2 linked regions of the Rhinolophus ferrumequinum genome follow. The protein of the gene in region 1 purifies or fractionates together with the protein of each later gene. This does not show direct contact. Links are inferred from orthologs where the notes say so. Each region holds a gene or a part of one and is shown on either strand. Other genes may lie near its edges.

The links.
Region 2: the proteins of MAGOHB (region 1) and PYM1 purify together in Homo sapiens (co-immunoprecipitation; 3 studies listed by BioGRID and IntAct, with this or other methods). This does not show direct contact. The link is inferred for Rhinolophus ferrumequinum from reciprocal best matches to the Homo sapiens genes MAGOHB and PYM1.

The regions. Positions count from the first base shown.
Region 1 is NC_046293.1:26,240,579-26,252,777, reverse strand, and holds the start of MAGOHB (protein mago nashi homolog 2), read left to right. Parts: upstream 1-7,228; 5' UTR 7,229-7,302; coding exon 7,303-7,396; intron 7,397-9,656; coding exon 9,657-9,715; intron 9,716-10,395; coding exon 10,396-10,506; intron 10,507-12,199. Other genes in the region: tyrosine-protein kinase STYK1, read left to right, coding at 2,206-2,410. UniProt on the Homo sapiens protein: Required for pre-mRNA splicing as component of the spliceosome. Plays a redundant role with MAGOH in the exon junction complex and in the nonsense-mediated decay (NMD) pathway.
Region 2 is NC_046293.1:55,333,983-55,347,050, reverse strand, and holds the start of PYM1 (partner of Y14 and mago), read left to right. Parts: upstream 1-7,690; 5' UTR 7,691-7,753; coding exon 7,754-7,910; intron 7,911-13,068. UniProt on the Homo sapiens protein: Key regulator of the exon junction complex (EJC), a multiprotein complex that associates immediately upstream of the exon-exon junction on mRNAs and serves as a positional landmark for the intron exon structure of genes and directs post-transcriptional processes in the cytoplasm such as mRNA export, nonsense-mediated mRNA decay (NMD) or translation.

The sequences.
Region 1 (12,199 bases):
CGGCCATAAAGAAGAATGAAATCCAAGTATTTTTTGCTGCCTATGAATCATGCCCTTTTCAAAGTGACTCAGTTGATCCCTAGCTGTCCTTTCTGTGCTAATGTGCATCCCTAGACCAAACCTACACAGTAAAACACATCTGCTCATACATCATATATATACATATTGCATATGTATATGTGTGTGTATACACACATACACACACACACCATGTTGAGGCAACTATATTATGAATCTAAATTTGATAGTTTAGTTCCTCCAGAAGTTTCTAAAATAGGTAAGAAGTAGACCAAATCCAATGCAGGTACAGAGTATTTTATTCGTTGAAATGTCAGTCTCAGTCAGAGACCGCCAGCCTCAGTTCTAATATAATTGCCATAAAATCCACTGCACTAGGTTACTTACTGGCTCTTATTTAATATTTAACTTTTAAAAATTATCTATTTTTCCAGCTATAAGCACATTAGAAACCAACCAGAGGGGCGGTAGGAAGAAATTAGAAAGGCAGGAGAAGGAGAATCCAATATTGTCAGCAGAAAGGGACAGCTGGTGAACCAATACAGAGCAAAAAAATGGAAAAATTTAAAGTTGTGCACAGAATTTTATAACCAATAAAATACAAAAAGGGATGGTTATAGGACATAAGAAAAGGTTTAGATTATTTATAAATGTATATATTAATATACATTTTCATTAAAATTGTAAATTTTGCAAATTTTTCAGCATCAAAAGGGTAAATTTCCAGTACCTGGGTTTCCCTATAATAAACATTTACTATATCAAGCAGATTACAAATGTTAACTATCGTAACTATAAATACACACACATACACACACACACACACAAACACACACAATATAGTGATACTGGCTGGGTATACCAGAATGAAATTGTTGAAAAATGTTTCTTGCAAACTTTCTATGTGTAAAAGGCTGTCCTTGACACTGGGGGGAGACACTTAACTGATAAAATACCTAATCTTGAAGAAATTAACATTGGATAAGGAGATACCTGAAAAACATGAAAATCAACATAAAGTGTTAGGTAGTAAATAAAATGGTTAAAAGCTCAGATTCCTCTCATAGAGTCAAAAAGACACATGCTCAGTCCTAGTCCTGTTATTTTACTGCACATTGTTTACTTATCTTAAAATAGGTAAAATGATAATCCTACCTTTGTTATTGTGAGGCTAAAATGAAATAATGCATGTTGAGTTCCACTTCCATGCCTTATATAATAAGTTCTTGGTAAATGTTAGTAGTGTTAAAGTAGCATCTTTCACAAAGTCTTATGGTACAAGGTTAATGAGCGTGGGAAACATGGTGGGCTGAGGTTTATAAGGGAAGGTTTCATAGAGGAATTGAGATTTAAAACAAACCTAGGGAATGATGACGACAGAGAAGATTTCAAGGCTTTGGGCATAGCATGAGCAAAGGCAGAGCTGGGTGTTAATAGCACATGTAGGACATAGCAAGACACTGGGCTGGAGGAGAGGGCTTCAGTTAGGCCAGGCCTGAGTGGGAGACAGCTGGGGGTAGGATGTCGACATCATGTGGTAGGCGGTGGAAAACTGTTGGTTCTTGAGCAGGGTATCATCGTACATGATAAAAGTATTTGAAAACAGATAGCATTATACATTCTCTAAACTGGATTGAAGAAAAGATGGATTAAAGTATTTTTATCTAGATTAAGGCAATTTCCTGAAGAAGCTAAATTATAAAGGGGGGAAATGACCTCGATTAACGGAAGGGAACACCTAAAAATTAGTATGAATCATATTATTCCATAACTTCTTATTTTCCTGGCTATAATGTAGCTTCTACTGATACATAAATTGTAGCAATGGTCTGGAATGCTACAAGTTAGTAACATCTAAAGGTGAGAACACTTGACTTCTGAAAGAGCATTTGGCAATAGAATGGGGGAGGAAAAACCACAAACTGTTCTGTCATACTGATTGTACTCCGAGGAATCTTCAGTCATTACTATTATAAAAAGGGTGCTATTGAGAAGATGATTTTAAGAGACTAAGTATTAAGAGGACGAAATGAATATTAATCTCTGGGAAGAATATGAGAGACAGGACAATGAGAAGTAGATTAAAGAACTGTAGCGCTTTTTTGTTCAAGTTTGTTTAGGAGAGGAGACGTGTTTCTCATACACTTGCCTGGTCAGGGAAGTCAGTGTCTCTCATTTCCCTTGCAGGTATGGTCTTATGAAGTCCTGCTGGCGCTGGAGTGAGGACAGCCGCCCTTCCCTTAGAGAGCTATGCTCACGCCTAGAAACTGCTGCTCAAACTGCAGATGACAAGGCTGTGCTGCAGGTACCAGAGCTGGTGGTGCCTGAGCTGTATGCAGCTGTGGCAGGGATCAGCGTGGACAGCCTCTCCTACAGCCACAGCTTCCTTTGACAATCCCAGGGCAAGAAACATCCATGGGTGATCATATACTCTTGGAACCAATTTCTCCAAGAACAGAGGATGGACTTTCTAATGGGACGTAAAGAGAGAAAGAGGACATGGATCCTGGATTTCCCCCATACGTTTCCCTAGATATGTGAAGTGATGCTGGGTGAAACTCTACACGCTGCATACCCTTGAGGCTGAGAAATACAATTTCATTTCTGCTGTCCCAGTCTTGAAGACTCAGGGTAGAAGTGGTAGCCAGTGTCACTGCACAGGAGGTTTTAGAAATCTGTGATGTTTGCTGGGGCACAGTACAAATAAGCTGGTTGCTCCCACCACAGGCTAGTTTCCTCCTGAAGGATGCTTTTATCGAGGCTATTATAAGGTCCACAGAAATTAGTCAAATGAGGGACTAGAAAGCCAATAAAGAACTTGATGAGAGAAAATTAAAGGTCCTTCTATTTGCTCAGGAGTATAGATGTGGACTAAGGTCATCCTTCAAAGTGAAGGTGGAGAAAGGATGTCACATTCCTCAGTCCTGGCCCCTTCATGCAGGGCTGGAGGAGAACTGTGAAGGAAAACTTCTGAGTTTCCCCTGAGCGTAGGTAAGAGAAAGATAGCCCCCTTTTCCCTAATAGTAACACAGGTAAACCCTGGTGGTTTTACTTTTAACGAGAACCTGGAGGGATCATTTTATGATTAGGAACATTCAACATGTGTTCATCAGGCCAGCTTCCTGGTCCCTGTAAGACTAAGGAGACGGAGCCTGGAGAGTCAGGCTCATGATGAATATAATGTGTGTGTTTAACAAATAGGGAATGTGGAAATCAAGCAAGAATGCTTAGTAGGCCAGAAGGTCTTTAACAAGGGCTAGCAAAGGACATCACCTGAGACAGAAGGATGGTAGCTTCTGATTTTCAATCATCTGCTGATGTATTGTGAAACTTATTTCATTACGTTAATATTCACTGAGTGAAAGTGGGCTTTTCTAGTATACAGCTGCTAACATCTTGACAATAGGGAGGATAAAAGTAAATAAATGGAAGTTAACGTCAACAGAAAAATTCAAGAGGCAATCTACATTGGCAGAAAATGGATAAATGGGGATAATACTTACCTCACAGGGTTGTTGTGAGGACTGAATGAGAGTATGTATTTGTACAGTATCTGGCACATAATATGTACTCAATAAATGTTAGTTTCCTTTTTCCCTTCCTATCCTAGAATCTTTCATATCTTTTTTATTTAAAATCTGTGGCTGAGAAGCGAACCTAGGTTTGTCAGTCACATTGCAAGGCAGGGCCTGCCTAAGGATGATGGTGTGGTACAAGCACCACAGGACTAAAATGATGAAGTAATCATTTCTGTGTGAGCTTCTGGAGGATGGGAAGAGTCTCCTCCTATTTCAAAACACTGAAAATATCACGATGATGACAATTCAGCTGGACATGTGATCTGTGATTTTAAAGAATACTCACTCGGGGTACTCTGGGTGGGACATCTAAGGCTGTAGGAAAGATGACTGGCAGTTGAAAATTTCATAAAAGTTAGACTCCTGATGGAGTCATGATGAGTCATCCAACTAAATAATGATTCTTGTACCTGTAGGAATACCACAGTGAACTAGTCAGGATTTAAAGGGGTGGTAAGTAGCAGTAGAGAGAAGGAAGGTTGAGTGGCTTGGCACAAAATGATGAAGTCCTCTGGAATCTCATTGTTGTTTCTTGGCTGTTCATTTAAGTCAAATTTACAAAATATTTATTGATTTAAATATTTTTTAAAAAATTGAGTGGTAAGTTTAAGGACAACACTGTTATACGTTGTGCTAGGTGTTGGATAAAAGGAACGGAGAGCTTTTGATTACAGCCTAGAAAGTAAGAGACATTATACACTTATTTATGTGGGCATTTGTACATTACAAATTGAATAAACTGTAGTGGTGATACCAGTAAGCATGCCCTAAATTGAAGCCTACAACCACTGAGATTGAGATTTCTTAATGTTCGAAAAATGTTTTCACTATTTCCAGCCCAAGTAAAAGTGTATGAAACGTGTCTTATATAACTTCACTGTCCAACACCATAGCCAGGGGACACATTGCATTTAAATATTAATCTAAATTCACACAAATTAATATTTTAAAATAAAAAATTCAGTTCCTCAGCCTCACTAGACACATTTCAAGTGCTCAGTAGCCATTCACAACATTTCCATATTTCTGTTGTATAATATCCAAGACCACAAAACAGCTTATGTTTTATTACTTTGCAATCCTTATACTATGAGAGAGACACATTTTTGGCTTTTTTTTTTTTTTTTTGCTAAAGATATGAAGGATTAATATATTTTCGCAATTCATTTTAAAAACAGGATTAGAGAGGATTAGTCTTGACCGCAGAAGTCTTTTCAGGGCATAGAGACAGTAATTGGACCACAGAGAAAGATTTTAACACTGTGCATTCCATAAGCTCTATTTACAGTCACAGATCTGGTATCTGTAGCTCTGTTTAGGTAAACATGAATGCTAGCATATGTGTCAAAAATCTGAAAGAAATGCATTAGGGAATCTAACGAGATTGAATGAGGCTCCCTACAAAAAACAAACCAAATGGATTACTGCCTGTATTTTCATAGATACTGTGGTCAAATTTCTGTGGGTTATTCTTGTAATAGGTACAGTGACTGAGTCATCCCAGCTTACCTGGGGCTTCCCAGGTTTTAAAACTGAAAGTCCCACATCACACAAAACTCCTCAGTCCTGGGCAAACTGGAATGGTTAGTCGCCCTAGTGGTAAAGGATGGTGCTTTATGTTTCTTATATATTTTCCCTAATGGCAGCCTGTACAGTAGGAATTGAATAATTTTCCTATGTAAACACTGATGCAATGGTTAATACAAACTACTATATTGACAGTTACATAATCGTTAATATAGAGTCAACATAATCCGGGCCAATCTGCCTTTCTAGCTATTCCACTTTCATGAACTTCATGTTCTAACTATACTGAATTTCTTGGCCTTCCCAAATCATGCTGTCATGCGGGGTGTCAGGCGGGGTCTCTGGTCCCGCTCCCCACACAAGAACGCAGGACATGGCTAGGCCAAAAAGGAACACCCACGGAGCCATAGGTAGGGGAGTCATACCACTGTATTCTCGCTGGCGGCTGTGTTGGAGAAACAGGAAACAGGAGCAACACAATTCTCAACCCTCACTGCGCCGCTTGCAGACTCAGCCACCATCTTCTTGCTAGGCCCCCATTTTCTGCTAGCCTAGCCACGGCAGTTATATTAGTGCCCAATGGCTCACTGGTTACAGCTGACGGCCAACTAGCCACAGCTGATGGCCATTTGATCACAGTCGATGGCCATTTACTACCTGAGCCAGCACCTTTCTATGTGAGGCCGAGAGCCTGGAAACTGCTTTTTGGGGCTCTGTCCCCACACATGCATTTTCACACCACTGTGCCTTTGCTCAGGTTGTTTTCTTCCTGGAGTGCCTTTTCCATCCCTCTGAACATATAGTCAACTTATCCCACAAGGTCCAATTCAAATAGCACGTCTTGTCACACTAGGCTTCCCCGATACTTCCCTTTCTTCAGCTTCCTGTTCCCCAATAAAGTGACTTGCTTCCTCTGCTGTACTACCAGCATTAAAAAAAATTCTTTCTAACATTTGCTTCCTTGTGCTAATATGTCTATATGTTTATTTTCTAGACTGCAAATGCAAAGGCTCTATCTTTTTATTAACAGTGTCTAACCATTTCTGGCACATAGGAGTACCTGTTAAATCTCATTATTTAATGCTTTATACATTTTAAATCTATTTTACATGCATTATCTCATTTGGCCCTCTCAATTCTGTGTGCTTGGCAAAGTTGACTGTAGTATATTCATTTGGTTGATGGAAAAACAGACTTAGAGACAGTGACTTAACCAATGTTAGGTAGATGTAAGGGTTGGGAATGAATCCCAGGTCTTCTGTCTGCCATTCTTCCTACTAAACCCCACTGAAGGTCAAAAGTCATCAACAGGATTACTCTATGTGTTGGTAAAGGAAGGATGATCAATATTTGAAAAACAGACTTTGTGTGAAAGCTCACCTGGCCTTTGCCCATCCTTCTAAACCCTTTGGTAAGCATCCCTCCCCTCCCCAATTTATTCTATTTGGTAAGAAACGTGGGCTAAACCATTTGACCTTAAGTCACATTGCCAAAACTCCTCAGGCCACTAAAGATTAACCTTTCCTTAATGAAAGAAGTTTTACTATTAAAAGGAACTCTTTTATACCATGCCTGTCGGGATTTTCATTTTCAATGTGCCTTTCAAATTTTCAGACCTCTTGTCTGATGGATTCTACCTTGTCTCTATTATTCATAGGCATCAAGTAGCCGGACAGCTAGCACTGTCCAAAGGGGAAAGCCCCGAGTTAGGAATCTAGCAGGAGAAAAGGGTTTTATTCCAGATCTATCATTTCGATTCCGGGCTTTATCTGGACTCATCCCCCCAGTTAAAGGGGAGTGATGCCACGCCCACCTTTTCACAGGATGCCGCGAGAAATCGAGACCCGAAAACTAAACGCGCCTTGCAATTGCACCTTAGTTGTAAGCCGATAAAAAATGCTATCATATGTTCACACTTTTGTCCTTTGCTATTTACGATTTACTTAAGTTTGAAAATAACATGCCTCTGTCGCCAGTAAGCGAAGTTCGAGTCGTTGCGACCCTTACTCCGCTGGCTTCGGGCCTCCTGTAGGAGCTGCAGCCTCCCAGCCCTCCTCTGGGGAGTCCGGAGGCAGAAGGGGCGCGCCGCAGTGACGCATTTCTCCCGCGCGACTGACGTCACTGCTAGGCGCCCGGCGGCGAGTAGGCCAGGCCTTCGGCGGGCTTTCTGGAGACCAAGATGTCTCTGGCCAGCGATTTCTACCTGCGCTACTATGTAGGGCACAAGGGCAAGTTTGGACATGAGTTCCTGGAGTTCGAGTTTCGGCCGGACGGTGAGCGGAGGAGCGGCGGCGGCCGCCGCCTTGCAGCGCGGTGCTGGGCCTGGGGGAGCGGGGCGGAGAGGCCGCGGAGGAGGCGGGGTGGGGTGGGCGAGCCCCTGGGGTGGGCGTGCAAGTGTACAGTGAGGGCTGAGGCCACTGCTTGCGCCGAAGTAAATGGGAGCTTGAGAATACAAGAGGCATAAATTATTCACAAAAGAGGTGTTGTGAATAAACGAGAATTAATCGATGTAAATTAATTCCGAAAAGGTAATCCTGCCAGATACTACAGCTGAACCTACGGTAGTCAGGATCCTAGACTCAGCTCACCGGAAAGGACCGGAAAGGCCGTCTAACGTATCGACCTAATACTTGAACGTTTTAAAGAACATCCCCCAACGTGCGTTGATTTAATGGATGCTTAAAATCTTTTGGTGGCCAGTAACTTTTGGATTTACCCATTCATCCGTTTTATTCATTCAGGCATTGTATGTAAGGCAACATGTCTAGAAAAACGAATGAGGCGTCCTCTGAAGGGGAAGACCAACGTGTAGAAAAATGAGTGTAATGGTGTATCTTTATTGTGGGTGCTTCAATACAGTTGTTCTCTATAGTATGAATTAAAATTAAAAAAGGAGAGTGGTTATAACGTTCTACATGAAGGAGCGGGGAAAGCTTCCCAGAGAAGGTGACAGTTGAGACGATCTGGAAATAGATTATTTTCTTGGCCTCTGCAGGAAAAACAGCAGTGAGAGCAGCGTGAGCAGAGGGCGAAGTAAAACTGCCTGCTGCCCAGGAAGTGTACAGCAGATTCTATTTTTCCTCAGCTCTGATTCTCTAGAGAGTTTTATTGTATATTGAACTCTTTTTGCAACAAGCTCAGTCCGACTGCATAGACTTTTCTTTTCTGAATGCATGGTATGTGCTGGGCAGCATGTAAATACAAAAATTGAGGGTACGGTAGTGGTTAAGACTCTTTAATTTCCCACAAGGAGTTACATCTTGATGGGCAACACATACATGAAACTAACCATAAAGCAGTCTGGCTATTAAGTGCTGTGTTCGTGTTTTGGACAAAGTTCTGTGAGAACTTAGGGGAGAATCACATATTAGAAAAGGGGAAGAGTATCAGACATTTCAGGTCACTACAGACCTGCAATTATTTAGAAACCTTAATCACCTTTTTCTCTCCTGTTTTCCTCACGTCTGTTCTAAATTTAGCTAAGGAGCCAATTTACCTGAATTCTCCATCTGTTGTTTCCTTAGGTGATGTTTTTTCAGTGCTTTGGCCTGGGAATAGTTTTCAGCTTGTCCTTAGCCAGTCACATAAATTAAGTAGTCTAATGTTATCAGGGAAATTTCATGCCCAAACAGTGGTTCTCATCCATTTATCAGCTACCACACCATGCACATATTTCCATCAGTAATAGTGATTCCTAAGGCGTTCACCTCATTAGGTTAACCTATCATTTTAGAGGGTCAGGAGCACATTACATCTGTACCTGGGCAACTAATTAGCCATAAGGGGAAGTATGCATCAGGGAGTACAAAAGTCATAATGGATTAAAATTAAGTATAGATTAGCTAACAAACTGGCCAACTTTTATCCAGAAGCAGCAGATAGTTTGTGTGCTTCCTAACCACAATTCTGAAATACTACCATTGCCATATTATCATACGTGCATTAATTTGAAGGAAAATAATTACTCCAAATTTTGGAGTACTTGGAAGAAGGTATATCTAGAGCTGAATCTCGTGTTACCCTGGGCAAATTACTTAACTGTTTTCTCAATTATCAATAGGTGTGAGAATAAAACCCACTTTTTAAGGTTGTTTAACTGATTAGATTAAATGCTCTGGGCTAATCACTTGGTACCAACACAGACACAAACTTTAAAAGAAGAGTTTTTTCTCTTTTCAGATTCCCTGTCTAGTTTAGGACATAGCTTAAGAAAATGGGCCTTAAAAAATGGCCTTCCCATTATACTGAAGGTATAGAATATTTAAAAATTATATTGAATATTTAGAAATTATATCAAAGGCATGGAATGTTTAAAAATTTGACTAGCTTCAACTGTAGCCAACTTACCAGCAAATCTTTGTGTGCCTACATGTCTAGCATTAATCTTATGCTGAGAGGGAAGAATTATTAATAAAAGTAGTAGTATAGTATGGTCTTTATCTTCAAAATTGCTTACAGTGTCATTTCTTTATTATTATTATTTTTTTTAGCAGTTTTTGCTGTTATAGATTGAATTTTTTCCACTCCCCACAGGAAAGCTTAGATATGCCAACAACAGCAATTACAAAAATGATGTCATGATCAGAAAAGAGGTAAGATTTTTTTGAATGTCCAGTTTTTTACATTTGCCATTTTCCTTAAGTCTGTGTTGAATTTACAAAAATACATATAAGTCCGTATTGTAAAGAATCCAATTTATAGATTGAAAAGTGATTCAGTTTAAATTAGATCTAATCATAGCATCTGTAACAACAAAAGAAGCAATCTGAATATATTGTTATAGTCTCATATTTGAACATACCATTTAATTCACTTCATAATTAATTTGTCTTTTTACTCTATTCACTATTTAAAACAATGATCATGATTTAAACACAATATGAATTTTAAATGAAAGGCTCCAAAATTAGGGATAAAAGTTCAGATCACTGTGATGTGTTCTAGTATTTGTCTCTGTTCACCTCAAATTTTGTGTTGTCGCTATGAATCACTTGGAGATATTTGAGTTCCATGTTAACCAAGGCAGAATACAACGGTTTAAAAAGGGGCTAAGTGATGTGACGAGGGAACAATATATATTAAAAGAAAAGGGCAAGAGAGAAGAAAAATCCTAAGAAGGATGAATGATTCCCTCCCATCTTGTACTTTGGAATTAAGTTTTTCTGTGATATTCTATTTGAATATTTAGGATTTTTAACTCCATTTTATCATTTCCTTCTGACCTGTGGGAAGAAATAGGCATTATGAAATTTTTATTGTAACTTGTTTTCAGGCTTATGTACACAAGAGTGTAATGGAAGAACTGAAGAGAATTATTGATGACAGTGAAATTACCAAAGAAGATGATGCTTTGTGGCCTCCTCCTGATAGGGTTGGTCGACAGGTTCGTATTTAGGGATTCTTTAAATGCATAAATATTAAAAATTGATAATATAACTGTTATGTTTCTCCTTATTTAGAATAGATCCTCACTGATTCTTTAGTTTTTTATTTAGTAGATACCTAGTAAATACGCTTTAATTTTCTTTTACTTGGTCTCATTTTTTGTGCTGCTTCCTAGTAGTAAAGGAATCCATGTATAACTGTAAATTGAGACATCTTTCTGAACAGTCTTTGTGGCAGCCAGCCCAGGTTAGGATGTTTTCACACTGTTATGGATAATTTCTATTATATGTTAACCACTTTTATTAGAAATAAGTACAGGTGTCTGTGAAATTGGAGACAGGATTCTCATTGACCATGTAAAATTTACTTTCTCTAAATTTATAACTTTGAAAATTCTTATTTGTATCTTTCTGCCCCAGAGAGGGATTTGATTGGTTTCTTTGTTCAAACTGACCACTGCCTTTGCCTCTCATACTCCCTTCAGAGTAATTAATGTTTCTTAAAGGGCTTCTGAAGAGATCTGAAGGCCTAATTTCACTCTGTTGAAAGACAGTTTGATTTCTGAATTGGATCTTTTCAACTCTTGGAGAAATGCAATATGACCCTTGGAAGAAGAAACATAATTTCACTTTTGTATATTCCTGAGGATTATACGTTGTAACACCTTTGAGTAGAAGAAAATGTATGGAGAAATTTTAACAGATGTTGACACTCTGTAGCAATAACTTAACTCTATTTAAAGAAACATTTAGGAAAACAAAAGTAATAGTAAAGAGTATTTTATGCATTGTAAACAGTTTTAAAACACAAATTTTGATCTCAGTTTGTTTTATGCATATGTACATATGTTCTAAAAAACAGAAACAACAGCAATAAACTGTTTATCTCTTTTAAACTCAGGAAGCGCCCAGTATTTTCATCAATCCACTTGATGTGATCATGTGTTTTGGTATTGGGGAGGATTTGGCATGCTCCAGAAATTGTCTATTGGATCTTTAAGTCAAATATTTTATGATTATTTAAGAACCTTAGTTAATTATTTTGTGTGTGCCATAAACTGTGCATAATTAGGTCTTCTGATCAGTGATGTAGCTAAGACTGTCTTGAATGGCGTGCTATTTAACCTGAGAAATCACCACACACATAGCCTCTTAATTGTTGGTTTTAGATTTGCAGATAAAATACAGAGAAAAATTTGTACAATAGTTGTGGCACACTGGGGACATCTACATTATGTTGTATTTGTTTTACTAGTTCTTAATTTTAATGTTTTGTGAAGTCAAAGTGTATGAGTCTTTCAGTCTTACAGTCCAGGATTCAAATATTAGTACCCTCACTTATTGGTGGTTGTGAATATCAAGTTTTTTCCTATGCTTTCTGAGTCTTGGATTTCACAGTTGTAAAATACGCTTACCTCCCAAGCGTATTTCAGGGATTATAGATAATGTCTGTAAAGTCCGTAGCAGCAGAGCCTGACACATAGTGGGTACTAAAGTGGTGCTGTTATTCATATTATACATTTTATCTTTAGAGCCTGGTGAAAGGGTAAGTGTGTTTATATTTATTATATTAAAAAGACTTAGATCATATTATTTTTACAACACTGTGCTTCAGAGTGATGCCAATAGTTTTTACTGACATTACATGAAACATTTATTGTCACCCTGAAGTATGTCATTCATTTTATAGTA
Region 2 (13,068 bases), about 29 Mb from region 1:
CATCATGTTGACCAGTGGCCCGGGGACCAAGTAGTAGAGGGCAACTTGCCTTGAGGATTCAACAACAGCAATAACAATATCTCACGTTACTACAGTAAAGCACCGTTTTGGAGTTAAACAGAACTAGGGTTAGTCATATCTGGGTTCCATTTTTAGCTCTGATACCACTGTGTGACTTGGGCAAATTACATTTGTAAAATGGGGAGAACGATACCTATCTTTCACAGTTGTGGGGAGTAAGTCAAATAATGTATTAAAAGTACCTATGGTGTTTCCCCGAAAATAAAACCCAGCCAGACATTCAGCTGTCATACGTCTTTTGGAGCAAAAATTAATATAAGACCCAGTATTATATTATATTACATTATATTATATTAATTATATTATATTACATAAGACCTGGTCTTATAGTAAAAAAGACAAGGTCTTACATTAATTTTTTCTCCAAAAGACACATTAAAGCTGATTGTCCGACTAGGTCTTATTTTGGGGGAAACACAGTAGTATACGGCCTGGCATATAGAAGGCCTACAAAAAATGATAGTTATTGTTGTATTATCAACTAAAATCAAATCCTATGAAACAGAAAATTATTGGCATAGTCATTCTAGAGACGAAGAAACTGGAGCTCAAAGAGGCTGGGACTTCCCAAGGCAGGTAACAAATGGAGGAACCAAAGTTCAAACCCAAGAACGGTGTGGCAGAGCCCTGGTTCTCTCTCCTCCTCTTGTTCCACTCTCCCCTTTAGTCTCACAGCCCTCCTTTCTGTTCTGTTCTGCAAGCACACTAAGTCCTTTCCTGCTCAGGGCCATCAGACTTACTGCTCTGTCTGCCAGGAATACCCTTCCCCATTCTTGGCAGAGCTGACTTCTTGCCTAAGCTGAGATGTCAGCTCCTCAAAGAGACCTTCCCTGATCCTTCCCTTGTAAAGTAGCCCCCTTCTTTGCACAGCACCCTCCTTTGTTTCCTTCATACAACTTATCACAAGTGGAAATTATCTTGCTAATTTATTTTCTTCCTTGTTTACTGTTTGTCTTCTACCAAAATGTAAGTTCCACAAGGGCAGGAACTTGTCAGTCTTCTTCACTACTGTATCCCCAATACCTAAAACAGTGCCCAGCATGTTATAAGTGCTCCATATTGGTTGTACAAATAGTTGTGCAAAGTTAGGGAGTTTCACGTTTTGGAAATATTAACCCAAATATGGTTAAATGAGATGCCAAAGTGTCCATTCTGCTACTAAGGATGAGGAAATTTGGGGCACATACAGTAGGTGTTAAACACATGTTTGTTAAATGAATGAGAGATGCTAAAAAGCACTTATATTGTACTCCATCCAAGACTGTGACCTTCTTCCTCCTCTCTGCCCACTTACTTAGGGCTTGTTGGGTCAAGCTCAAGGAGGCCGTCAGGACCTACAAGAATTTCCTTTCTGACAGTGCAAGAATCTTCTCTTTAGCCTCGGTCCTTGAGACAGCTCTGCTGCCCACCTCTATGTAGCACACCATTCCTTTTCTGGGGACTCTCTGGAAACACTCAGAAAAGGGTTCTGGGACACTGACATTCTGGAGAAAGGACTCCACCCATCTGGCCCTTTTCAATGACTATAATCTCTAGTGACAATAGGTGTAGTGAATACATAATTGTCTTATGGCCAATGGGGCCTGTATGGCTTAATTAGCTGCTCTGATTACTCCTGGGGATTCTTAGATAGCTCCAAGATTCTAGGAAATGGAACCTGAGAGAAAGTGACAGGGAGAGAGAAAACAAAGGATGGCAGGACATGATACTTCTCTCTTGTCTCTGTTTTCAAAATGACCCTTCCTATCCCCCAGGTCTGAAATATAGTATAAAGGTTAAGAGAATGGACTTTTGAATTAGGTAGGCATGAATTAGAATCCTAGCTATTGGATGAGTTATTTCATCTCCCTGAACCTGTTTTCTCATTGGTAAAATGGGTACGTAGAGAAATCAGTCACAATGTGGGGATTAAATAATACATGCAACATGTTTAGCAACTGCATGGCACAGAACTCTATAAATGTCAGTTGTTGTTGTTGTTATCATTATACAAGGGTGGTACCTAAAGAAAACACATCTGGAGATCAGGAAAAACAATGCCTTTGACCCAGGTATAAATTCTAGGAACTCTGAGCATGAGTGAAGCCCCATTGTACACCTCCCCCCCCACCCCCCGTCATATCTCAGGCACAGACATGTAGTATCAGGATTCTGCACTTTGCCTGTGGGTGAGGAGGTGGCTAGAAACTAGATTATCTGTGTCTAAGGACAGCCCAGGGCTAAGACCTTGGACATAGCGCTCCTGGGATTTTTTCAGTTGTCCTCCTTACTTCTCTCCTCGAAAGTTTAGCTGCCCCTGTTGTTGAAATGCAGCTAACTGCAAGACCCTGGGACCTTTAAGACCTGGAACAAGTCCAGTTTTGTCCTCCCCACTCCATCCCAACCCTGAGGCTATAACCTGGGCTAGTCCAGGCGACTGCCAGGGCTGGGAGGGTGGGGTCTGCTGCCTGCCAGCCAGCTATTTGTGACTCACCCTTCCCTTCCCTCCTCTGGTTTCCCTGCCAGCCCCTTCCAACTTGGGGTGAGACAGTTAGAAATTGACTTGGAGACAGAATCCTAGAACATCCTCAGAGCTAGGAGGCACCAACTCTCAGATTTTACAGAGGAGAAAAACTGAGGCCCAGAGAGAGCACAACTCTCTCAGGGTCATGCCCAGAATCTACATATCCTGTCCTTAGTCCACTCCATTCAATCTTAGTGTTTCTGATTTTCTAGATCTTATTTTAAACATCAAATACTAAAATTGCTGGTAACCAAGAGATAAATATGATTTTCAAAGCCAGTGCTAAAATTTAGTTTTCTTTTTCACTTCAACATTCATTGCTCACATTCCAAGTCCCCCACGTTTACTGTTAGTCAAGAATCAGCTATGCCCCCAGAACATTCGGGCTGACCCACCACGGAACCCCAAGGAGCAGGCACTCCTTCTTGGGCCCAGGTTTGATTACCTGGACTTCTGAATCCCTTAACAACACCAGGGCCTAAATCCTCCTCTTCTTTTCTGGGACCCAGGGAGGGTCTATTCTTCGCTGCCCATCCCTGCTACTAGTTTAGTTAGTGGCCCCTGGGAGGGACTCATTTGGCTTGAAGCCTCAAAATTCATTAAGCCTCCACAAACCTTACAGATGGTAGTGTTGCCTGATTAAGGGGGTGGTGTTTGTGTGTGTGTGTGTGTGTGTGTGTGTGAGGGGGGTGTCATTGTGTAATACAGGAGGAAGTTACCATGTTGGCACAGTTGAGGCATGTGGGCTCGCTCATTCGTTGTGAGGCTGAGGAGATGCCCAGTAATATTTGCATTTTTTCTTCAGTAAAGCTCATTTCCCCCATTTAAAGGTGAAAAGCGTATTCAGACCCAGGCAGTTTCAGAAACTTTTCGGTGACAGGTGTGGAAAGGAGAGTGGTGGGAAGTTGGGGACCAGGAGGCCAAACAAGAACCCTTCTCCACCGCTGCAGCGCTCTGGAGATTCCAAAACGGACTTTCCTTGGACTCGGGTCACTGGGAGCCTAGCTTCACCATCCCTCCGAGAGAGCGGGAGGGATGGAGGGGAAGGTTTGCGGGGAACGCTGCCTACGGGTTCTGGCCCAGTCCTCCCGCTGCCCCCGCGTCCTGGCGCAAACCCTGCTAGGTATCTACCCGCTCCAGCTGTCACGCTTCCTCCTTCTCGGCCCAGCAGCCCTACCCCAGCCCGCGGGGAGTCCCCTCCTGCGACCCCCGCCCCTCCTGCTCGTGAGGGTAGGGCTGGCGGCGGCCGGGGGCTCGCGGGGTCTCTACCTTGCCTGCCGAGGGCGCGCGATCCGAGCTGAAGCACGACGCGGGAGCTGAAGCCCGACCAGGGCTGGAGGGGACGGGCCAGGCAGACGCCGCCGCCGCTGGGCCGCCCCGCTCCTGACGACACAGCTGCCCGCCCCTCACCCCCGCCCGCCCGCCGGCGCCAGGCACCCCCAACTCTGGAAACTGCCAGTCTGGAGAAGCCTCAGTTTCTATTTCACCAAACCTCATCCCCCACCCCCTCCCACGACTACTCCAGGGCTCTGGTCTGTGCCACTTTCTCCACATCCTGAGCTTCTCATTTTCTTCCCGCCCCGGGACCAGCTCTGTTTCTATTTTCCCTTCATTCCAATCACTCACAGCTTCTTCCTTCATTCCGACCCTGGAGTCCAAGATAGGAGGCAGGGCTGTTGATGGGATAGCTTGGCCGCTGCCCACCCAGCCAAGGTCTCATCCTCTCCTAATTGCTGCCATCTGGGGACTTCCCTTTCCAACTGCTTTCCATCCACCATTGACTTTTAAATTCATACTCAGGAGATTTCACAGCGGCAAGGCCAGAGTTCCAGACTCCACATCCTGAGACCTGAACAGCTCCCGGACCATGTGCTCCACACTGCTTGACACTACCTGTGAGAATCTGCCCACCTCCAGGTTCTTCACCTCGCGAAAATGTCTCAGACTTGTTTTCCCAAGTCTAAGGACATCTTCTTCTCTCAAGACTCAGATCTTTCCCTTAATTCCTGGGGTGGAGGTTTAGGTACAAAGAACACCCTTTCTTTATGCCCAACCGTCCCATTTTACCTGCTGGCCTTGGTGGGTGGTGTAGAAGGCCCTGGCCAAAAGAGAAGATGAAGGAAGATCCTTCCAGCTTCTCCAGTCTGGAATCTGTTCTGGAGTTAAGGCTCTGGTGGCAGCATGGATGGTGGTGAAGTTGGTAGAGCAAGGTAGAGAAACAGAGGCCTAGGGACTTACTGGTAGGAACTGGGGACCCAGGCATCCTGCTCCCTGGCCCCGCCCCAACACCGTCTAACCCCTTCCTACCCTTCATTGAAGTAGGGCAAGTAACAAAGTCTAGAGTTCCTGGAATCTTCCCTTTTACACCTGGTGGTGGAAGAAAGGGGGAGGGGAGAGCTCTGACTGGAAGGATATATGTGTGTGTGTTGTACACGTCGTGTGCACACACACAAATACACACACAGCCTTTGGTGGAGGAGAAGGAATGAATTCATGAGGACCTCTAGTGGAAACAGGGGGTTCTAAGCAGTTCTTGATTGTTTCAAGACAAGCTTGTTAGAAGAGACTCCTCCATTTTTATCAGAAATACAGCTGCTGAGTAAATTGGGTTTGAGGGTATTGTTGTTGCGTCTGAACTGGAGATCTGAGGCATGGGTTGGAGAAGGTCTGTCTCTCTGCTCCTGTGTCCCCTCCAACCTTAAAAAGACAAGGGCACTGCCACTCCCCATCCTTCATCTCCCCGTCCTATATGACCTCCTTAGTCATAAGGAATCATAAAAACTTTTGAAGTTCTATTTTGCATCAGGTCCTGTACTTAGTTCTGCAGGACAGCCAAAGACATAGTCTAGTTTAGGGGTTGCACCAAAGAGTGGCTTGGGGTGTGTGTGTGTATAGTGTCTCCCCACTCTAAGCCATCCTAAACAAACATATAGTGTAAGTAAAGAACAAGACCCCTAGCACCTCTTCCAATCCGAACCTCTCATCTAGCAATCCTGGAATGATACTCATTCTTAAGGCATCAAGCTTTCCTTGCAATTAACACAGTGATACCACCCTATATGTATGATCTGTGTTTTTCATTCCATCATCCTCAGATATGTTCCAACATGAAGTTAAAGAGGCTCCTTTTAAGACATTTTTGAAACTTCAAAGTGGGACATGAGGTGATCTCTGTAATAAGGAACAAGACAGAATCAGTCATATTCTCTGTGTCTTCTTTAGGATCTGTGCTCTCCATCATACACCAAGTGAGTTGTTGTTGGGGGTGGGGGGAAGAAAGGCCAAGAAACATCTCAGAAAGAGGCGTCTAATGCCTACAGTTCCAGGTGCTCATTTCTTTAATCAACCACATCATAAAAATCAGAAAGAAAGAAACCACAACGAACAAAGGGAAAGGAAAAAACAACAGCCTTCTTCTCCGCAGCCTCTTCTTTCCCCTCTTCCTCCTCAGGTGGGGGGCACATCCGGGCCCAGGGCTGGGTCCCAGGCAGATCTGCTAGGCAGGCAGTTGAGTTTCACTTCCTGTCAACCCCAGAGCTGAGGCAGGATGTCTGGGGGCACAGTGGAGGGCCTAGCGTTGGGTAGTTAACAAGGGCCACTTTAGGATTCCCTCTTGTACAAAGGTCCATAGAGCAGCCCACTAGTACTAATACTCCTCAGGTAGAACAGTCAAGACCAATGTATCCCTCTAGTTTTTAGGGGTTTCATCCCACACTCTCACCTCTAATCCTTCGTAACAGGGCTAAGGACAAGATGCTAGCTAGACCTGGCAGGGATGAAGCACAACTGATGAGAACAGGGGTTAAGGATGGCAAGTGTTAGAACACTTACAATAACTGTGTATTGAATGCAATCAGTTTTTTTTTAGTCTTTTGAGACGTTCTGAGTTGGGCCTCTGGTGGAAGTCAGGGAAGGGGAGCATAGGAAGGCAAGCTGTGACGCCAGAAAACTTCTGAAGCTTAATTTTAAAGCCTTAGGAAGTCCGTAGTCAGCCACTACTCTCAGTTTTTTGTTTTTTAAACTGGGGCACGCAGCCTTCTGTTGGAGATAGTCACTAGTACCCACTTTCATCCTCCTCCCTGGTTTCAGAGGTACTGTTGGGAATTAACCTAAGCCAATGTAAGGGATTTGGGGAAGGTAAACGGGTTGATAAGGAAAAAGCAACGTGGGTGGGGAAGGGCAGAGGTGACACCTGAGGAAAGGAACCTGCAGCTGGCCCCTCCCAGGCTGCAGGGGAAACGAGTTCAGCAGGATTTGGCCCTGAAGGAACAACAGCTATTGAGAAGAACTGGGGAGGGAGCACATTCGGGTTGGTCTAACGAATAAGGAGGCGCAGGGCAGGGCAGGGTTGTAAAGGGAGTGACAATGTGGGCCCGGATTATTGGCAAGTTGCCCCGCTTTCGATCCCGTCGCCCAGAGACTTGTACGAGGTTAATTAGAATACTAACTGGGTCCGCCCATAAGTCTTCACGCTGCCCTCTGACCCTGGGGCCCAGCCCGAAGAGGCTCCTGGGGCCGAAGGCCAGAGCAAACTTAAGCAGTCGTCACTTCGCCGCCTGAATCCCCCGGGCCGCCCCAAGGGCAGGGCCAGGCCCAGGCTTCCTGCCCAACCCGACCCACCACCTGCACGGCATGGAAGCTGTCGGCAACCCTGAGACTGCGGGGACAGGTGACAAACCGGCAGCGCCCTCCACCTTCTCTCGCGGCTCTCAGTCCGGAGGGTTGAGCTGGGCGGCTGAGGGCAGTCCGCACGCGATTTCGACCTGCCCACCTTCTAAAAGAGTAGTGAGGATCTTTTATTAGCCTCCAACAACACTAGTGCGCCCCAGTGCGTTCCCGGAGTTTGCCTGCGCTGCTCCATGCCCTCACGCCGTTTTGGGACCTGAGTGCAGGCCAGAGCCTGAATATTCTTCCTTTTCTCATCTATCAGCCCCCCCTTTCCGGGTGCAGGTGGGCCTTGCCCCCTTTTCCCTCGCAGGTCCTGGTCGGATGAAGAGTGCATGTGAGGAGAGGGGCTGTGCTTAGGAACTTCTCTCGGCGCCCAGAGGACTGCTTTACACGCAGCAGACGCTCCATAATGGTATCAGTGGCAGTAAAAGAGCCCACGGCTTTTATTTTACTAAAGTCTTCAGCTACTATTCCTCCCTTCCTTCTTCTCCACCTCCGGTCATGAAATGGTGTACTCTCTCTTTAAGACTAAAATGGTGGCTTGCTACGATCAGAACTCCACTTCCGGTGGGGAGGGGGCGGGACCCCAGCCCGCTCACGCCGGAAGTGGTTTGCGTTTTCAAGATGGCGACTCCCTATGTAACTGACGAGACCGGCGGTGAGTGCGGGAGGCGCGGAGCCGCTTCTCTCCGGGCTCTCGGGGCAGGGGTTCGGACTTGGAAAGGGGTCTGTGCCCCGCCCATCCCGGGGCCCCTCCTTTGCCCCGCCCTCCGAACCGCCTTCCCCATTCATTCTCTCCCACGGGGTGTCACCTGCGCCCCCTTCTGGTTTCGAGTTTAGGGGTCTCTGCTTCCGGTCACCCAAACCCTGGGGTCCTTCAATGCTGGTCCCTGCTCCAGGACCCTTTCGGGCTCTTAGCTTTTCTCCAGCAGTTGAAGCTTCAATATTTCTTTTGGGTTCTCCAGTCTTGGGGGCTCCTACACTCTCAGTTCCCTCCAATTCCTGTCCTTCCCCTCCCCCCCCTTAGTTATACCTGCTTTCTGCCCTACCACAGCAACGTTTTAATTCTTTTTCTCGAAACTGTATCTGTAGAAGGTCTCATTGCTACATAGTGGTTTTTCCACTTTCTTCCTCATCTTTATTGTTGGGTCACTGAGGTACAGAGGTGTGAAGGGAAGAGAAACGTAATACAACTTTCAGCTGAGTTCTCTCCTTGATGGCCCCACCCTTCTCTACTTTCTTTGGTGATGATGATAGAAGTTGAGGGATCTAAGGTGCAAGAAGGCAAACCAGCAAGGTGTCTAGTGGCCTCAAGCCCTTTGATAATTTGATAGAATCTACTGTTCCTTATCGCTAGTGAAGAATTTCGAGCCTGGCTGATTGAGATGCTGAAGTGTCTGCTGTGTATGTGAGGTTTATGTGTTGAAAACTGAAAAAGCAAGGTTTTCATTGTCGTTTTGTCCTATCCGAATTTCCTCCTCTTTAGAAAAATTTGCATAGTACTGTCTATCCATTGAGGATCAAATAGGGTGGCATATGTGAAGGCAACTTATAAAATGCTGTGCAAGGCAAAGTATTACTCTTAAGTTTGTTTTTCCAGGACCCATCAGCTTCAAGTCAAGTAGTTGTTTCAATCTAGTTGTGGAGGGCACAGCTCACAGTGGCCCATGTGGTGATCGAACCTGCAACCTTGTTAAGAGCACTGTGCTCTAACCAACTGAGCTAAGTGGCCACTCCCACTTTTTTCTTTTTTGTAGCCCTCATTGTGTATATATAGTCTTCTCTGGAAGTGACACTATGTCTGTACTGTGCTACATACGGTCTGTTTTAAAATGTGCCATTTATGCTTCTCGCTTTGCTTTTTTTCATGTTCCTTAACATCCCAAACCACTTCTCTTATATCTAATGACAACAATCCTGTCATTCTCCAACCTCACACTTCAAAGTGGTACAACCTCTCCTCTCTACTCAGTAGGTCCTTCTTCAACTAGCTCCTTTTAATGTGTGCTTTGAAAATATTACTTAATTTCCAGTACACTTCTTTATTCTTACCTGTTTCCTTAATTTGATATAACGAAAATCCAGATGTCACATCTCACCCTACCCTCCCACCAAGGGGTGTCTTCTGTTTTCGGAGACCCATGTGGAAGAGGAGAAGGAATCACACTGCTTTTTTGCTTTCCTTTACTCTTTCCATATCATTGATCTACCACTGTCACTCTAATACTTGTGGACGGTATTGCCATGCAATTACAACATTTTCTCTAATACCCCAGGGCCATCTACTGCCCACAAGGACCCAGACCTATCACATCATTGTTGTTGTTTTTTTTTTTTAATTAGTTTCAAGTGTACAAAACAATGTAATAGACATTTCACCCCTCACAAAGTGATAAACCCTCTCTCCCGATCTATTGCCCCTCTGACATCATATATATCTATTACAATTCCATTGACTCTATTCCCTATGCTGTACTCCATATCCCATGACTATATATATATTAAATTATGGTTGACATACAATATTATTCAGTTTCAGCTTCAGGTGTACAGTGCAGTGGTCAGGCATCACATATTTTTTTCTCTACTCTGTTTCTGGCTCTCATTCTCAGTATCTCCAGCACAGCACCTTTAGGATACTCTGATCTTAAAGTTCTTCAGCATGAGACTATTGACCTTCCTTTGTGTTTTCAAACCAGCCACACATCACAGTCACTACAACTTGGACCGCACCTATGACACTGCTTCCCCTCCATGTGCTTCTCATCACTTATTTTAGCTTCCTTACCGGTCACCCTTTTCACTACCTCACACCCACAGAATCAGCATTTTGCCCTCCTTACGGTTCTCTGATTCTTAACTCTTTTCCACTTCATTGAGTCTACCAGAACCTTCACGACTACCCTTGATGTTGCCCTGGTAGACCTCTAACCAGCTAGTTTGATACTATCCTCATTGTTTTCTTTATTCGTTTTGATCTTCTATACTAAGCAAGCACTTTTGTTATCGTGAATCATACCCATCAATTGTTTTCTGGGCTTCTGCTTCTAGGCCACAGCATATGACTAGAGAACAGGCACAGAAGCTAGCAGGGTCTCTATAACTTAATGTCTGCCAATATGACAGCTTCTCTCTAATTCTTTTTTTCTTGGTTTGCTTACATTCTGCCATTGCTATTTCCCCAACCTTTCCCCTAGCTCTCTGTGACCCTTTTCATTCTACCTCTTGTGGCAGATGACCTCACTTTCTATTTAATTGAAAAATCAAGGCCCTTCATTTCTGTTACTTTCCTGTCCACCGCTTAATTTCTTCAATATCAGGACTATGCATATTATTTCCATTTCCTCACTGCTTATTGGTTCCTTAACTTTTTACAGTTTTTATTTCTACCACCAGCCTCTCTCCTGAGTTGCCAGTTCCCTTTTCTAATCGTGTGGTGAATAGACTTCATTCTTGGATATTCAGTCACACCTCAAATACAATCTGACCAAAATCAGTATCAGTTTTTCCTTCCTTATTTCCTTCCAATTGTTAAAGGCAACAATTATTCTACCCAATCCAAGACCAACATTTTTGCATCATTTCCCTCCCTCTTTCTCTTTTCTTCTTAAAATTTTAAATAGACTTTATTTTTAAGAACATTTTTAGACTTATATTAACAGAAAATTTGAAAAGATGGTACAATTCCCATATACCTTATACTCAGTTTTCCCTATTATTAACCTCTTACATTAGTATGGTATTGTTATTGCAATTAATGAACTAATATTGATACATTATTATTAACTAAAATCTGTACATTATTCAGATTTCCTTAGTTTTTACCTAATTTTTTTTTCTGTTCCAGGATCCCATCCAGGACACCACATTACATTTAGTTCTCATGTCTCCTTAAGCTCCTATTGGCTGTGACAGTTTCTCAGACTTTCCTTGTTTTTGATGACCTTGACAGTTTTGAGGAGTACTGGTCAGGTATTTTGTAGGATGCCCCTCTATTGGAATTTGATGTTTTTCTCATGATTAGACTGGGGTTATGTTTTTGGGGAATCGATCATAGAGGTAACGTGGCATGTTCATTATGTCATGTCAAGGGTAAATAGTATCACGATGATTTTTTACTGTTGATACTGACCATGATCACCTGGCTGAGGTGGTGTTTATAAGGTTTCTCTACTGTAAGTTGCTCTTTTCCCCTCTCTTTTCATATTGTACTCTTTAGAAGAAAGTCGCTATTCATAGCCCATATTTTTTTTCCTTTTTAAAATTAAAAACATTTTTCAGTTACAGTTGACATTAAATATATTAGTTTCAGGTGTACAGCATAGTGGTTAGACATTTATATAACTTACGAAGTGATCCCCATAAGTCTTGTACCCACCTGACACCATACGTGCTTATAGTTATTACAATATTATTGGCTATATTCCTTAAGCTGTACTTTACCTCTCAGTGACTCTTTTGTAACTGCCAATTTGTACTTCTCAATCCGTTTACCTTTTTCACCCTGCCCTGCAAGCCCCCTTCTATGTGGCAACCATCAGTTTGCTCTCCATCTGAGTTTGTTTCTGTTTTGTTTATTTTGTTCTTTAGATTCCACATATAAGTGAAATCATATGGTATTTATCTTTCTCTGTCTGATTTCACTTAACATTTCACTTAGCATAATATCCTCTGGGTCCATCCATGTTGTCACAAATGGTGTCACAAATGGTAAGATTTTATTTTTTATGGCTGAGTAATATTTATTGTATACATGTACCAAATTTTTTTTTCTTCAATTTTTGTTGGGGAATATTGGGGAACAGTGTGTTTCTCCAGGACCCATCAGCTCTAAGTCGTTATCCTTCAATGTAGTTGTGGAGGGCGCAGCTCAGCAACAAGTCCAGTCACCGTTTTCAATCTTTAGTTACAGGGGGCGCAGCCCACCATCCCATGCGGGAATTGAACCGATGTTGTTGACAGCCTGTGCTCTAGCCAACTGAGCCATCTGGCCATGCGCCCCACCCCCCCCAAGTTCAGCTTCTTCAATCTAGTTGTGGAGGGCGCAGCTCTCTGGCCTATGTGGGAATCGAGCTGGCACCCTGTTGTTCAGAGCTTGCGCTCTAACCAACTGAGCCATCCGACTGGCCCCCAAATATTCTTTATCCATTCGTCTTTTGATTGGAGCATTCAATGCATTTACATTTAAAGCAATTATTGATAGGTATGTAGTTATTGTTATTTTATTGTTTTCTGATTGTTTTTGTAGTTCTTTGTTGTTTTCTTACTCTTTTGCTCTCTTCTCTTGTATGTTGGTGACTTTCTGTAGTGTTGTGTTCGGATTCCTTTATCTTTATTTCTTATATATCTTGTCAATTTTTGGTTTGTGGTTACCAATGTGCTTCATATATACCAAGCTATGTTTATAGCAGTCTATTTTAAGTTGGTTGTTTAAATTCAAACACATTCTAAAATCACTACCATTTTTACTTACCACCTCCAAGTTTATGTTTTTGTCATTGTTTTTTACTTTTTTATTTATTTATGTGTGTGTGTGTTTGTGTGTATCCCTTAATTTGATGTTGCAATTACACGTGATCTTCCTATTTTTGCCTTTTAACCTTTGTACTACTAGCTTTAGTGTTGGTTGACCCACTGCTTTTATTATGTGTTTGCTTTTGTCAGTGAGAATTTTTTCTTTGTGATATTTTCCTATTAATATTTTTTATTTTTTTCTTAAAGAAGTCCCTTTAACATTTCTTGTAATACTGGTTTGGTGGTGGTGAACTCCTTCATAAGGTTTTTCTTGTCTGGGATCATAGCGCACACTTTTAAGA